2 linked regions of the Mus musculus genome follow. The protein of the gene in region 1 purifies or fractionates together with the protein of each later gene. This does not show direct contact. Links are inferred from orthologs where the notes say so. Each region holds a gene or a part of one and is shown in the gene's direction. Other genes may lie near its edges.

What was found. The genes of interacting proteins can lie anywhere in the genome.
Region 2: the proteins of Strn (region 1) and Cttnbp2 purify together in Homo sapiens (affinity purification with mass spectrometry; 3 studies listed by BioGRID and IntAct, with this or other methods). This does not show direct contact. The link is inferred for Mus musculus from reciprocal best matches to the Homo sapiens genes STRN and CTTNBP2.

The regions. Positions count from the first base shown.
Region 1 is NC_000083.6:78,652,457-78,657,423, reverse strand, and holds part of Strn (striatin), read left to right. Parts: intron 1-408; coding exon 409-516; intron 517-1,588; coding exon 1,589-1,675; intron 1,676-1,764; coding exon 1,765-1,934; 3' UTR 1,935-4,967. UniProt on the Homo sapiens protein: Calmodulin-binding scaffolding protein which is the center of the striatin-interacting phosphatase and kinase (STRIPAK) complexes.
Region 2 is NC_000072.6:18,419,876-18,424,842, reverse strand, and holds part of Cttnbp2 (cortactin-binding protein 2), read left to right. Parts: intron 1-861; coding exon 862-1,012; intron 1,013-3,825; coding exon 3,826-4,077; intron 4,078-4,967. UniProt on the Homo sapiens protein: Regulates the dendritic spine distribution of CTTN/cortactin in hippocampal neurons, and thus controls dendritic spinogenesis and dendritic spine maintenance.

The DNA.
Region 1 (4,967 bases):
ACCTTTTTGGTTGGTGTGTTTTTGTTGTGAGACAGGATCTCACTTGAATGTCTGGCTGGCCTGGAACTCTCTATGTAGATGAGCCAGGCTGCTCTTGAACTCACAGAGATCCTCCTGCCTGTGCATCACCATGCCCAGCTATTAGAACTTTACTAAGGAGCAAAGCTAGAGACGTGATGTCATCAGTGTCTCTAGTGTGTATCGGGGTGGAAAAGGGACTTCTGACTTGTCATTACCTGTGGCTGTGGCTCGTGGTTTAGCTCAGGTAACTCATTTTACAACACTGTAGCTGGAGACTGGGTAATTGACTGCAGCCAGACTAAAGTTGAATTATTTTTTTTTCTGCCTTTGTTTGGAAAAAAAAAATACTTTGACTAATTTGAATCATTTTCAATTTTTCCTTTTTAGCATCCAGTTCTTCCTGCCAAATAAACAGAGTCATCAGCCATCCTACCCTCCCAATCAGCATCACTGCTCATGAAGACAGGCACATCAAGTTCTACGATAACAATACAGGTAAGAGCTTTCTGAGACTGGATCGTGCTGAAGCCACACCCACTGCAACAAGAACCCAAAGCAGCCATGAGCACCTACTAAAAGCAAGCTAGTTGTGGGTCTTGATGGCCGCTCCACGGTCACGGAGTAGTCATGGAAGCACGCTGCAGGCCGCTTCTGTTCACTTAATGTCTTCTCAGATGGTTCCATACAGTATGGGATGGTTTTTAGTTTGTTTAATAGTAAGCATATTCTAAAGCCACGCACCTAGGCGCTGGTAGAAATGGTCTGTAACAGTCCATGAGTAGTGAGCATTAACAGAAACTTGTGGAGGCAGAGGCCGGTGATGGGTTTTACTTTAAGTTGTTCAGTTATCAAACAGCTGTGCTCTGTTGCTCAATATTAAATAGCTGGATGTAGCGTTGTATGTGAAAATCCTCTAGTCATTTGTTCTGTGTGGTTTTTTTCATGGTCTGATCTTTTGTGTGTTATAGTAAAATGTGAGTTCTAACTGAGCAGGGCACGGGGCTTTCCCAGTTCTGAGTGGACTGCATTTCAGCAGTCTATGGTAAAGTACACAAAGAGCTGAAGTGGGAAGAACTGGGGGGGGGGGGAGGCCATGTTTCTCTGGCTGTCTGCCTTTTTAATATAGTCACTCGTTGTGTTTAGTGGCTAGCAATTTAATCTTCATAATTCTTTTCTGTGTTATTTTGCCAAAAGTCTGGCCATGTTTTCTTTCTCTTCTTTTGTCCCTTTGAATTTGAGCTTTCTGTCCTCAGACACTCATGTAGTTTGTAACTAAAGGGTGCTCAAGAAGACTAGTAATGTCTAACTCATAGTTAGTGAACATGAAAAGCTCACTGAGTTTGTTGTGGCTTAAAAGACCGTCTCATATGAAATTTAACTGGCTTTTATTTTTTGTTATTAACATGACCAAAAGCAAGACAGGGAGATGTGCTGTTTGAACTGTGGAAAAGGTTCATCCATGAAGTACATAGCCAGGGATGACTTGGGAAACCAGGGCAGGGTGGAAGTCGGCATGTGGTTAAGCTGAGGAAAGCCATCAATTGAGTAACAATTTCTTTTTCCAAAGGCAAACTGATCCACTCGATGGTGGCCCACCTGGAAGCTGTGACAAGCCTGGCAGTTGACCCGAATGGCCTCTACTTGATGTCTGGCAGTAAGTACACTAGCTGTGGTGATATGTTTGTCCTTACCGTCTTCATGGGGAGGTAACCGTTCCTTTCACCTTCCTTTCTTTTGCAATAGGTCATGACTGTTCAATACGCTTATGGAATTTAGAAAGTAAGACATGTATCCAGGAGTTCACAGCTCATCGGAAGAAATTTGAAGAATCGATCCACGATGTAGCGTTCCACCCTTCCAAATGCTATATAGCCAGCGCTGGAGCCGACGCCCTGGCTAAGGTCTTTGTATGATGTGGCACAGCAGCTTCACCTTGTAGCTCTTTATAAAAGTCAACTGCACAACAGCGATACGGAAGACCAGGGCAAGAATCAGCTCGCCCTGCCCTTTTGTTCTGCTGAGGGAGCACAGAGAACTCTGTTAAAAGTATAGTTTTGCAATTCGTATACTGTTTTCTAAAATTAAGGTTTGTTCAGGTTGCTGCAAGCTCAGCCAAACCTGTGAGCCTGAAACTTTGAGATTTCCCTCCAAAGAGGCACTTTTGTTTCTGAAGTTGTTGTCATTCGCTAGGCTGGCCTGAGCGGGACAGGTTTAGCTTCTTCTCCCTTTCAAGTAAACAGGGCATGCTGTCATGGGTAATTAGAGTTGAGCGCCGGGAACGAGTAGAGTGGAAACCTCACTGTACTTCCTGCCACCCGGAGACATCTACTAGACACGAGGTAGTCAGTTGTACAGCTCTTTCTGCTCCACTAACCCCAGTGTGCAGAACGACCAGTCAGTGTTCAAGTGAGTTCCTACCACAGCTGTCCTTTCAGCCGCTCTCATAAAGCACATGGCAAAACATTTCACCTGCTAGGAGGAAACGATGCAATAATGTTAAGTGTATTACTATTCAGAAATGCTAAACAAATACTTAATTTGCAAGCAGATTTCTATATTGTACTACAGTTTTGAAAGTAGATGTGGAAGCATTCTAAAGTGAACTGTGAAGCACTCACAGTCAGGAGTGGGTACTAGAGCCTGCTTTACTAAAGGTTTGAACTCACCCAGGTTTGAGATCCTGTTTATTTTTAAGGGCAAACAGGGCATATTTCTATAATTTGTCTAAAAATTCACCTTGTTAATGTGGCATTTATAGTGCTAGCGTCATCATTTCATATTGATAAACTTACTTCCTAGTGATTCTGAAAAAGGGGAAAACTATTTATTAGCATCCATTTCCCAACACCCACATAACTAGTTCAAGTAAGCCTTGCTGTTTCTTCCCTGCCTTTCACGGTCATGTTGTCTGATGCTTACCATGAACAGTTTATAACTGGTCTGTCATGTAGTCCAAAGCATGTGGTCACTGCAGGCAGCTGCTTTTGCAGCCACGCCTAGTAGAGTAGTGCACCCCAGAAAGTCCTCTACTAGTGTCTCGGGAAAGAACTCTGTAGAGATCTAGATGGAGATGTTAGTGCCTGTGATGTCTACAAAGTTCTTTCTTCTCCCCACTCCCCATTGTTTAATTGGAATGCATGTTTTAATGAACAGTTGATCAATACTCTATCTAGAGAAAACCATGTCTTAAAATGCCAGCTCTCGCATTTATCTGTGAGCCGAATGTGGTCAGCTTTTGGGAGTCTCAGAATCCTACTGACACACCTAGGGCAGTCTTCACACCCTCTCTGCTTTTGTCCTAAATGACAGAGACCACTATAAATACTAAATTCAAATTAATCTCCACCTTTTTACCAAAATGTGTTCATCATAGGCTCTCTGTCTTAAAAATATTATACCCATAGATATTATGACCCATTAAACTAATTCCATTGCCATAGCCGTGGCTTTTCTGGTGATCTGTTCTTTGAAGTAGTATTCTTACGGTGATGTGGCTAATAATTGACTTCTTAAAAATTTCTGCTCATCTATCTTTAGAATTCTCCAGTGCAGGCAAACTTTTCTTACATTATAAGATTCGTGTTGAACGTCCCTGATTACTCTATAGACATGCTGTAGCACAACTACAGTTTATCTTTGTGCTTTGGTTAACAAGCAGGCTTTAGAGATTCACTGGTATATGCAAGTGAATTGAGTTACACATAACTACCAAGGAAAGCTCACATTTTCATGTATAGAGTTTTATGCTGTGACAGGTAAACTCTTCCATACTTTGTAAAGTGAACAAAAGGATTTATTAACATTTGTAGAATATTAGAAGATTCCAGTCGTAAGTGGCATATTTATGATGGCTGAGCACAGTTACTGCTTCAGTGTACGTCTTACTCTTGTCATCAACACTCCAGATCCCAGGAGAGTCTGCCCTGTTCATTCTGTGCCTCGTAATTGAAGTTTTCTTGTTAATGGGTGGGACACAATCCTAAGATAGGCAAAGTGTAGTACAAATGACAGAACTGTTGAAAGTTGTTTAGGAAGTATGTTTTGTGCCATTGAAGACTGCACGGAGAAAGAGAGCCTTCTAAACTAGCCCTGTTTGCTGTCAACCTAGAAATGAGCCAACTGTCTTCCAACTGGATGGTAGCATGTACGTGTGTTTGACTTTCCCCATCCTATTGAAAAATCACAAGATGAACAGTTTCAAGATTCAAAACCCTTGAAATACTTTCATGGTTATTTACCAGATTGTAAATGTTTTGAGTGAGCTGTTTTGGAATAATATGAAAATCAGCAGGTAGGTTAGGTCCCTGCCTTATTTTCAGTGCTGTGGATGTGTCTCCGGGAGCTTACAGTACTTCTCAAAATGCAGCTGTCACTTGGAGCTCATTTGCTACTCAAACCATAGACAAATAGGTGATGGGATGACCTTCAGTATTTTTCTATTGAACAAAGTTACCAATTTTTGCCATTAAACAGATAATTAGTTATGCAAAGTATTTAGCTTTTGTAATCATTTAGTTGTAACTAAAAGGGGGAAATTGAGCTGTATCACTGATAATGAACTTTGTGAGAAATTATTTGTTTATCTGACTTCCATTCCTTCAGTATTCTTGCTATAAATTTCTTTTGGAGATAATGATTCTTTATTTGAAAGATGTCTAAAATGTATGTATATTTTATAAATATATATTATATATATTATAGGGATATATATAATATATAGACGATATATATCTATCTAAACCATGGGTGCATTTTACTGTTTGTGTCTTCACTTTGGGAGGTAGTATACTCATAAGTTGATGAGTCTGACGAGTGTTGTGCTGTTTGCTTTTACAGTATAATATATAGTTCCAAGTGTTTAAATACTGTATATACTATATTCATTATAGGCTAGCATGCTTGTTTTAAAGACTGTCATTCTAGTTTATTAAAATCTGAATGTAAGA
Region 2 (4,967 bases), on another chromosome or scaffold:
AAACCCTGTGGAAATTCAGGAATCAGTAAATTTAAAGATTGCGTCACACAGATATGTCAGCGTGTTACTTAAAAAAAAAAAAAGTAATAACTTATGTAAGCCAAATGCTGAAAGAAAAATGAACTCCCCAAAGGCAAATCCTTCACTTTGTCCACATTCTATCTCTGTGTTGAACTAATCACAAAGTCGCAGTCGCAGCATGGCCTCCTTTTCTTCTTGAGTGTGTTTCTGTGTAGCTGTGTCCTCAGAAGCCAGCTCCTACCCAAAGAGACAGCCTCTTCCATCCTTCTCTCAAGGCAGCCCTTTTCCCAGCCCCCTGCTCCTTTTTATAGAGGAAGCACACAGTGCTCGGCTGTCTATGCTATTTATAATCATTTTCTTGAGTGAATAAAAAAAAAAATCACAGAATGATTCAGCAGCCTCATGTGTTTTTTTGGGGTTTTTTTTTTGTTTTTTTTTTTGTTTTTTTTTTTTTGTTTGTTTGTTTTTTGTCAAGGCAAAAACCATTTTGAATCACAAATACTATGTAATGTATACCAAGTACGGTATAACATTTAACCTAACAAATCAAACCTGTTCCAAGGACAACTCCTGTAAAAGTTGGTAAGAAGGATCCTGAACTAGGTTTGAACATTTGTAAATGGACAATTTTATGTTTTCATAAATTTTGAGACTAAAGTTTAGTTTTTAGTCATATGAAAGTGATAGCAAGCCAATAATGTACAGAAGGTCTGAATGAAATAATTGACACGTCAATATGAATGCTTGGTCATGCATGTTATCTGGATTTAATACCTGCTCAGGGAGCCCTTTCCAGGTGATGCCTCATCTGTATGTAACTAATCATAATTCTATGTACAGATGTATAGAATTACTAACTGCATACAATGCCAACATTAATCACTCTGCTGCTGGAGGACAGACACCTTTGTACTTGGCCTGTAAAAATGGAAATAAGGAATGTATCAAACTCCTGCTGGAAGCTGGCACTGACCGGAGCATAAAAACCAGAGTAAGTACCCTTTTGGGAGAGTGTTCCCCGACATATGTTATTTATATTGTGTCTGAAAACTAGGCATATATATATACTATAGCTCGCATATATCTACTATACATGCATACATATGACAGGTACAGATTCTTTTCTTTGTTATTGTTCCCTGTAGAAAGCAGTATATGGCTACATTGCTTTCGCACTGTAGACAACATTATAAGTAGGATGGAGACTTAAGTGTGTGGAAGGATGCGTGTAGGCACTATGTAAATGCTACGGTGTTTTGTATGAGGGATGTGACCATCTCTAGAAATTCACAGGCCATGGTAAAGAAGGCACGGTGGAGCTTTGAAACTAGCCTCCCACAAATGCTGAAGGACAACTGTGCATGGATACCCACTCTTCCGTTGTGCTTTCGCTTTAGGATCCTGCTTTAAGTGACCTCTGAGTCTCTCCCTTGCTAATTAACATTCTGGTCCGTTTTCCCTCGCAAGTCATTCAAATTCTGAGACTAAACATAAAAAGAGGGGAATTTTGGTGCTCTTAGTATTTCAGAATTAGAGAAGACAATGAACGTGTAAGTTTTTATTATTGAACAAATACTATTCTTTGATGCCATTATGTAATTTCTCAGACAAGAACCAATCATTAGGTATTAATATTAGCAAAGGTAACAAGGCCAGCTATGAGTATTTTCCATTGTAAATTATTGTTAGAGCTTAAAAACAAAACAAATCTCCAGTATTATTTTTACTCGATGTCAAGTTTTTAATAAATTTTAGTTTTTTAAATTAAAGTTCTTATTGTACATGTATGAGTGTTTTGCTTATAGGCATGTCTAAGCCACTTGCATGCCTAGTTCCCAAAGAGGATCTGGCCATCTCCCCAGATCCTCCTTTTAAAAAGAAAATCTGAAAAGGGTAGTTTAGTTTCACATTTCTTTATTTTATATATTTTATCCAAGAAATGGATGTTTGGATGTATTCACTACAAAATGCTATCTTATTGCTAGAAGATAAATGAATTTTGCATCATTAACCTGAGTAAGAAGTTCAACATGGAAGGTTAAACAGCATCCTGCTGAGAACGCAGATCAGCGCCCGGAAGCTAGCTTTGTTGGGCTGAGCAGATTGTTTACACAATACGACAACACACTGTATAATTGATAAGTAACCTGGGGTGGGTGTGTAATTATGTCTTATGCCTTTTAATGCTTAGGTAGTAAGAGAAAGTGGAATGTTGAAAGGTTTTTGTCTGGTCTTGTTTTTTTTTCCTAGAAACACTGTTAGGAATTTGTAAATTAGGAAGCTAATGGGCACTTCTTCTCTGTGGCCTAAGTAGGGGTCATCCCCCTGCAGAAGAAAGCAGGGATCTGCTGTTCCTGACTGCAAGGCAGATCATGCCCGGTTCTAGTTAACTAACTGCCTGTGTGGTTTTTATCTTGGTCAACTGAATTTTACTGGCATGAAATCCAGAAGGAGAGAAAAAGTCCTCAAGGGTCAGCTTAGGAAAAGCTCACAGTACTTAGTACACATTGAGATGGTGCCTTACTTACTGGCTAATAGTCTTAGTCTTTACATCATCACTATAAAAACAAAACAAAACAAAACAAAACAAAACAAAACAAAACAAAAACCAGTGCAGTGGTGCTGAATGCCTCTAATTCCAGCACTTGGGAGGCAAAAAACAATATCAAGTTCTTGGATAGATGCATAGTAAGACCTTTTCTCAAAGCACATATTAAAAAACAAAAAGTTTTATAGCTTACTGAAATATATTTAGTATAACAATATGGAATTCTATATGAAAATGATCTTAAAACAACAATATAAAGGCAAAAACAAAAACAAAAACCAAAAACCAAAGCCCCAACACAAATCAATTATTTGATAAAATCTTTAAAGACAAACAAGAGTTTCTATGTTGTAGGCAGACCCACCTGTGTGTCAGAATGAGAGTCTGAGAGGGGACTGGGGATTTTTTTCCCCCTAGAACCATGCTTGTCAAATTTAAATTCATTCCTTTCCCTTGCTGGGCATGATTGCTAGGCAGGTGGGGCCTCCCCACCAGAGGTCAGGTTCCCTTTATCTGGAGATAGGCTTGGGGAACTGCAGTCTCAGAGGGTATTGAGGTTGCTCCACTGCCGTGAGCTTATGATGACTCAAGAAACCAGCCAAGTGGACAAGGGGGTGGGGCAGAGCAATTCATTCTAGAAAATGGCCTCAGTGATCTTAATTGAACCATTTTCCAACACTGATTGGAATCCCGCCACACTCAGAAGTTCCTGAGCACAGGCCCATAGATAGCTAATGAACGTATTTGGGCTTTGCTTTTTCCACGTTGCTACCTTTTCCTTTTTACCTAGAATCTTTCCTTCTGGAATCCTTGGCATTAAAATATTCAGATCATTTCAGTTAGTAACACTGGTTTGCTGCAGTGTTTTTCAGTGCATTACTAATTAATTAATACCATTATCATTGCATATAAAATCTCATTAGGATAAAGTTCACTCCATTTTTTAATACTAAATTGAAATTCTGGTTGGCCAGGCATTAATACTGAGGAGACTAAGCAGGACCTACTCGCTCCAGAAGGTAACTGTTAGGTGAAAATGATTATTTATCAACAAACATGAATCACAGTTGTGGGAATTAATGTCACCAAGAAAAGTGAGAGAACTTAAGTTCATCAGGAATATTCAGGAGTGGACTGCCTCCATTTCCTGATGAGGTGGTTTGTGACCAAGAGAATTTAGAGGTGGACTCAAAATAACACAGTTCTCACCATTAATGTTTTTCTCAACCTTTCCCGCCTGGTCAATGTATTTTCAGGATGGCTGGACGCCAATTCACGCAGCTGTGGACACTGGTAATGTGGACAGCCTCAAGCTCCTGATGTACCATAGAGTGCGAGCCCATGGAAACTCTTTGAGTTCAGAAGAGCCCAAGTCAGGCTTGTTCAGCTTGAATGGAGGAGAGAGCCCTACGGGTCCATCTAAGCCTGTGGTTCCTGCAGACCTAATTAACCACGCTGACAAAGAAGGCTGGACTGCTGCCCACATTGCTGCCTCCAAAGGTTTCAAGGTACGTCTGGGAGCAGCCGGCCCCTTTGCCCAGTTGTAAATTTGATGAGTGGCAGAGTCATTTGTATTTGATCTGGTGTGTTTAGACTGAGTAAATCGAAATGGAGTAATACCTTTGCAGAAGGCCAGGAGCTGCTGCTACAAACTGACTCTCATTTCTCTCTAAAAGATAATTACAGTCAGGGACATGAGAAAACTTTCATTATTTAAAATCTTTTATTTATTTTATTTTTTTAATCTTATATTTATTTATAAGGCATACAACAGTAAAATCAAATATTTTTATCTCCTCTGCCTTAGGATGGAAAGGTGAATATTAGTGTAATTAGTTCATACTAGTTGCCTAGAGGGAGGATCACGACACTCCTGATAGCTAAGACTTTAGCTAAGCATGCTACTGTCTGCAGAGAAAATGTGTTCTTAGCTCTTAGACCAGCGGTACATACTCAAGCTACAAGTGGAGAATAAGGAGACAAACTCGATCACAAGATGATGGACAGGCATCATATCAACAGCTCAGTCTGTGATGTGGAAAACTGGAGGTTATGTGTTTTAAAGAACGGGACTTTAGGGAGATTCCACTTTGCAGATGGTTCATTCTCACCGAGGTAGAAATTATTCGGGGTCCTGTAGACTATGGGAGAGAACAATCCAGGTAAAGGAAAAATAAAAATAGAAACACAGAAGTAGGAGCAAGTGGCGAGCAGCCCCGAGTAAGTTCAGGAAAATAGGAATAAAAAAATGCTAGCTGGTCTTTGTTGCTTTGGAGGGGATCTTCAGTAACATTTAATAAGGAGCCTGGTATAAAATTCCCAGTGAATATACAGCCAGGAGGAGGTTTTAGAAAAATAAGATTAAATGGTTTCCCAGTTTAAATTATTTAAGAATAGT